Linked DNA regions of Nothobranchius furzeri. The protein of the gene in region 2 purifies or fractionates together with the protein of the main gene of each other region. This does not show direct contact. Links are inferred from orthologs where the notes say so. Each region holds a gene or a part of one and is shown on either strand. Other genes may lie near its edges. The genes, in order: thumpd1 and nat10.

Region 1 (2,551 bases), about 51 Mb from region 2:
CTGCGAACAGCCAGCTTCTTTAGCAATCACCTTTTGTGTCTTGCCCTCCTTGTGCAAGGTGTCAATGATTGTCTTTTGGACAGCTGTTAAGTCAGAAGTCTTCCCCATGATTGTGGTGCCTTCAAAACAAGACTGAGGGACCTTTTAAAGGCCTTTGCAGGTGTTTTGAGTAAATCAGCTGATTAGAGTGGCAGCAGGTGTCTTCTATATTCAGCCTTTTCAGAATATTCTAATTTTTTGAGATACCAAATTTGGAGTTTTCATTAGTTGTCACTTATGAATATCAAATTTAAATGTAATGAACATTGGAAATACATTGGTCTGTGTGCATTGCATGAATATAATGTACAAGTTTCACGTTTTGAATGGAATTACTGAAATATTTTCAACCTTTTGATGATATTCTAATTTACTGGCCAGCACCTGTATTTCATGGATGAGGTGCTCATGTTCAGAGCTGGTGACCAGAACGATTCAGGATGAGCAGATTTCTTTTTAATATCCGATTCCCTTTCCTTCTTAAAATGTAAACATCAATTAGAAAAAGTACAGAACAGAGATTGCTTTGAATAATCAAAGAAAATAATGGCTTTAAATCTGCAGAGTTCAGGAAAAAACAAAAAACAGACAGGTCAGGTACCACATAGTTTTTATGGTGGATTCATGCTAGGTTCTTATGGGTTCCTGCCTATAAATAGTCAGATCTCATCTTTAGAATATCCATCATGTTGTCCTCATGTCAACTTTGTGTAAAATAAAAAAAGTAAAACTAGACTATTGAAATCAGAATTCACATTTAAAACCTAGCCAGAACTAAATTGTGTTTTAAGATGCAGATTTAATAAAATAACTCTAAACTAATGAACGCTCAGATGTATCAAGTAATAAAACATTAGATCTTTCTGACTTTTGTAAAAAAAAAAAAAAAATCTGTTTTGTTTAGCAAAGGTTTTGAGACCATAACGTTGAGATGAAGCCTCAACAGCAGACTGATTTCTGTCAACTTTTAATCCCCGCCATCTTCTCCCTTTTTAACCTCATTGTCCTCACAGCCATCTGCCCTCTTCTCCACCTGCACACCTTCAGCACCCTTATTCATCTTCTCCTTTTGGGATTCCTTTTCACCCGTCTTCTCTTCCACTTTCTCGGACTCTCCTTTACCGAGTTCTTCTGCGTCAGTGTTTGTGGCGACCACAGCAGGTTTGGGAACGTCTTCTTTTACTATTTCATAAACATTAAACTTTCTGTACAGCTGATAATCTTTGACCACGCAGACGCAGCAAACGGCCTTGATGACCTCCACGATGACCGTAAGCTCAGGGTTTGTCAGGTCCACTTTGTTTTCCTGGTTCAGGCTTCCCAAAACACCTGAACTGGTGAAAAGTTGACTGGTCAGTTTTCGACGTCAAAAAACATAAAAATTTAAAAAATAAACATGAACCTGAGTTAACCTGCAACATGTTTGATGATTTCCTCTCGCTTGTTCTGGTTGTTGTTGCGAGCTTTGTAGGCGATCTTGTAGGTTGTGCTGTTGGGAGCTTTAAACCAAGGCACCAGGAACGTGGTCAGATATTTTACTATATCTTCCTGGTAAGCCCTGCATGTTCCAATGACCTGAAGGAGAAGAAAACATCAGCGACTGCAGGTGTTGAAGGGAAAACTGCAGACTCATCAAAAAAAAAAAAAAAAAAAAAAAGACAATGGCATGTAAAACCGTGATAAAAAACACAACCACGTTATCTCATTACTGTTTAGTGCATCGACAGGTGGGTGTCTTCCAATTTTTATAAGATGTAGAGGTAGTGTGAAGTAGCATGGTCCTTCAAGAGTGAGGTGTTTGTTAGGAACAAAATAAACTGACTGCTTTTTATGTGTTTTCTCCCTTAACCTTTTAGTTGGTAAACAACCCAATCTAGTTTTACTACATTCTACTGTGTTATGCTGGTATTTTCATTCTGGACAAACAAGCATAAGAATTTTGCAAGCTTGTCTATCATATAAGGGCATGATTGAGGTTGCATCCGTTTCGTTAAATGAGAGAAACACTAAAGCCGGGCGTACACTGTGCAACTTTTTCACTCGCAGCGTTCAGCTTCAGCTCAAACTGTACGACTTCCTCGCAGGGCAGATCTCACGAGCCAGGCGCTCACACTGTACGACCCAGTTCTCGGATGCGACCTGACTGCTCACACTGTACGTCTGGTAGCAACACGTCGGACCTAAAAATATGCTAAAAATAGCAGTTTTTACTCAACACGTCAGACTTTTTTGTCTTGTCTTGCCTGTTGTCCTTCGGGAGAGCTGCAGGAGGACACACAGGGATTTATGGGGGTTGGATGAGGAAACGAAATAAAGAAAGTAAATCTGTGTTTTGTGATCAGTTTAATATGACATGAACACGACAAACACGCTTTCTTGACAATCTTTGTGAGTAAAAAAACGTGTAGAAATAAAAACAAACAGCGTGTGTTATTAGGGAAATAGCGGGGAGCAGTGTTGATAAAGGATTGCGCATGCGCCGTGAGCGGTTCTGATACTTTTTGGGCCGCAG
Region 2 (3,828 bases):
GCCTGGACAACAGAGCTTCTGTCAGGCAATAACGAGAAGAAATGACCAAAAGGGGTTAAAGCCATACCTCACTGCTGACTGAAGCGATTCCAGTGTGGTTTGGTTGGGAGTTCTCATCCATAGTGGGAAACTTGCCCTCGTAGTACATCTGCAGCAGCTGGAGAGCTCTGGAGCCGTAGCCCATCTGTTGGACAGGATGAGTCTCTAGTTACACCAGATCTGGGATCTGTCTCTCTGACGCTGTGGTTCAAGTTTAAAGCACGATCAGACGCATTTTTAATACAGCATTAACAAAGGTCCTCCTCCATAGGAAAAGTCAAAGCGCTGCAAATCTTTACAGAAAGCATAAATTAACTGACGTTAGTTCAGAGCACTCATAATAAATGTGGTTAAAAATTAGTGGACAAAAGGCCTGTGCTGTTTCTGTTTTCTAGGAATTACTACGTACTCTAGAGATAAACAAACTCTGTTCGCTTTCGTAATTTTATGTAGAAATAGGTTCACTTTCATCTGGATTTCACTTATTACCTTCTATGGAGCTGATGCAGCACATTTTCACCTTGTCCTAAAGGCCCATGCTGCCGACCGCCACCGTGGTGTAATGATTTCATTAGGCTACATGAAGGCGATAAACACCGATGAGGGCCTGAGCCTTGAAATTACTCAATTCAGAGCGACTCTGTATTCGAACCAAGTAACGTGATATTTATCTAACTTGAGTAATTATTTATGATGTTGTGTGTTTGCACAGATGGATGTTTAAAGAACACGCTCACTGAGAAACCATTTTTCCTTCTTATTACAGAAATATGATTTGTCACTGAGTTTTCATGCAGGCTGAACATGAAAATAGTCTCCTACACCTATCTCCCGCATAGATTCTGACAGAAAATAGACGATGAAACGCTAGGATTAAAAATCCTGACAGATCTACATCACTCTGTCACTTAACATTCATGGACTCGCCCATCTCGACTCGGGACGGGGAAGGCTGTTGCTGTTTTAGCGTCCAGGAAACAACAGAGAACGTCTTAGCTAGTAGAAGCTAACTGTTAGCATTATCAACTCCACCACACAGCAGAACTCCTCCAGGCTTGTGTTATTTGTGCAGAGCAAACCGAGTCAGTGGTAGAGTTGTGTTGCTGTTAGCCAATCAGAGGAGAGATGTCTGAATATCATGAATTTTAATGAGTAAGACTCAAAATCCTGACCCCTCCAAACAGGAGCGCCAGAGCAGACACAAAGGACTAGCGCCACAGAGATCGACCCACAAGTCATCCATTAATACTAGAGACCACTGCAAATATACCGAAATGAGAGCTTTATTATTGTTTTAGGTCTCTTTGAGTCTTTCTTCCTGAAACGTCTGTTGCTGCTCTATATTTGACTTCATGTCAACTTATTTATTTTTAAAGACTTTTGGCAACACTGAGCATTAAATTGACAATAAACCAGCTGAATTCAAAATCTAATCAGAGAGGGAGCCTTCCTGTCCCTCCTTTAATTTGACTGATAATCCAGGTTTCTGGCTGCTAAAGCCTAAACAAACCACTCCTGACCGCTTACTGCATAACAACCAGTTAACCGTAGTGTTTACGTGTTCTCACCCCTTGGTAGTCTGGATTGACTGCTATTCGAACCACTCTGCCTCCAGACAGGCTGCCAAAGTCTGGATCTTGAAACTGTGATGAGGCGAGAAAAGCATTCCTCATTTCAGTTTTAAAACTTAAGTTTGTAGAAAGCTTTCTGATTGGTGGTCACCTGCTCCGACACGGTCCAGGGAATGAGGTCGCCTGAGGCCTTCTTCCCTCTGGACAGACTGTTGAGGACAGATTGCCTCGATATTTCTCCCTCCAGACACACCTGAGATAGCAGACAAAACAAAGAAGTATGTGAAACCGTTAGCGACTGGACTGGATCTTAGGGTGTTTCTAGATTACCTGCACCACAGCGAGGACCTCGGGCAGCGAGTTCTGAGTAGGAGGTACAGGTGGCAAGAGGCAGAAAAGGTGATGAGCTGGAGCGTCGGACAGCATCTGGAGGTCATTGGGGGAATTCTGGAGCCAAGACAATGAGTCAGCAACCAGGAAGAACAACGTGTGATAATATGCTCCAGAAAAACCGACCACCTTGTAGTGCGATGCCACATAGAGCGCCATCAACCTCTGCAGAAAAGCCTCAGAAGCTTTGTGATAACAAAACAGCGTGTCTCTGTTCACATAGTAGCTGGACAGCCATCACTAAGGACACATACACATTTATTTTCCTGTTGTATTTAAGGATGTTAAGGCCGTCAGTCTGAACTTGTCGATGTCTCTTAGCAGCAGCAGGTTAACTGATCAGAAACTGAAGGATACAGGTCACAGGTCTGTGGAAGTGGGCAGCCAGAAATGAGTCTGGGGATGTTGAGGCAGTCGAGGCAGAGCAGCTCGTTCAGCCACTTCTCCACCGCATCTCCACTACCATAACGAATCGACTCGTGTAGAGAGGCTTCATGCAGAGTGCGAGCTGTGTACGGCAACAGGTAAACATCAGTTAGACAGTACATACAGCCTAGGCAATAAAAATAAAGACTTTAAGGCTAACCTGCTGCTAGCCTTGCTGTGCTGGTGGTCCTGTTCTCTGCAGATGTGCTCTGCTGAGTCTCTGCACTCTGCTGCCTCAGCTGCTGGATCAGCTTGAGGGAAAGCGAGCGCCCGGTGCCCTCATATCTGCACAGACATTCTGGTTAGTTTGCTGAACTCCGATGAACACAAAGCTCTCTGAGGGACATGTTTCAGTTTTTACCACTGACCCGTTGATAGTGGAGGCCATGAAAACCAGATAAGGCCCCAGCAGATTCTTAACGAGAGGAAGAGGGATGGCCGCAGCCTCGTCGATCACCAGTAGCTCAGCTTGGCCCAGCTTTACCGCGTCCCCTGGGTGGATGTACTGCCGGGCACAAAAGAACGCTCAAACCTCTCTTCTTAAAATGAAACAATACGACAAATCCACTGGTTACCTGAATGGTCTGTCGATGCTCTTTGAAGATGTTCACTCGCACCACGGCTTTGTTAAATTCAGGATTTAATGATTGGATGATTTCATAATCAAGATGCTCCTGCGTGTTCACACAAGCGTGACGTGTTTATACCTCTACGTCATCAGTAATTTACCATCAGACAGAATAAGTGAGCAGGTCTACCTGATACTGCAGCGCATCGAAGCCTTTGAAGATGAACTCAAACATGGTGTGAAGGTTGTCTGGGCTTGGAGAGGTTACAAAGATGTTGGAGTAGCTGAACGAGACAAAGGCAGATGGATGAAGGACGACAAAGACACAACATGTGTAATGTTGTGACATCACGAAACTAATCTGTACCCAAAGGCCACCGCTCCAGCCACAGCCAGGCCCATGGCAGCGGATTTGCCTCGACCTCGAGCGGCCGTCAGAGCAACGGTGCTCCTCAGGGTCTTCTCTGAGATTGCTTCGATAAATTTAAGCACTGCTTTTGCCTGCAGGAAAACAGGATTACATCCTTCAATTCAATTCAATTCAAGTTTATTTATACAGCGCCAAATCACGACAAGAGTCGTCTCAAGGCACTTCACATAATAAACATTCCAATAAAGGTCAGTTCATTAAGCCAATCAGAAATAATGTTTCCTATATAAGGAACCCAGCAAATTGCATCAAGTCACTGACACTAGTCAGTGACTTGATGCAATCCTCATACTAAGCAAGCATATAGCGACAGTGGAGAGGAAAACTCCCTTTTAACAATAAGGATGCGTCTTCTGATAGGATTGTTTAACCGATGCTGTCACCTGCAGCTTGCTGACATATTA

The links.
Region 1: the proteins of nat10 (region 2) and thumpd1 purify together in Homo sapiens (co-immunoprecipitation; 3 studies listed by BioGRID and IntAct, counting the BioPlex papers as one, with this or other methods). This does not show direct contact. The link is inferred for Nothobranchius furzeri from reciprocal best matches to the Homo sapiens genes NAT10 and THUMPD1.

What each region holds. Positions count from the first base shown.
Region 1 is NC_091744.1:8,209,133-8,211,683, forward strand, and holds the end of thumpd1 (THUMP domain-containing protein 1), read right to left. Parts: intron 1,615-2,551; coding exon 1,452-1,614; intron 1,369-1,451; coding exon 1,007-1,368; 3' UTR 633-1,006; downstream 1-632. UniProt on the Homo sapiens protein: Functions as a tRNA-binding adapter to mediate NAT10-dependent tRNA acetylation modifying cytidine to N4-acetylcytidine (ac4C).
Region 2 is NC_091744.1:58,958,277-58,962,104, reverse strand, and holds part of nat10 (RNA cytidine acetyltransferase), read right to left. Parts: intron 3,496-3,828; coding exon 3,362-3,495; intron 3,279-3,361; coding exon 3,185-3,278; intron 3,101-3,184; coding exon 3,002-3,100; intron 2,932-3,001; coding exon 2,795-2,931; intron 2,712-2,794; coding exon 2,587-2,711; intron 2,509-2,586; coding exon 2,358-2,508; intron 2,227-2,357; coding exon 2,130-2,226; intron 2,058-2,129; coding exon 1,941-2,057; intron 1,864-1,940; coding exon 1,762-1,863; intron 1,683-1,761; coding exon 1,608-1,682; intron 185-1,607; coding exon 68-184; intron 3-67; coding exon 1-2. UniProt on the Homo sapiens protein: RNA cytidine acetyltransferase that catalyzes the formation of N(4)-acetylcytidine (ac4C) modification on mRNAs, 18S rRNA and tRNAs.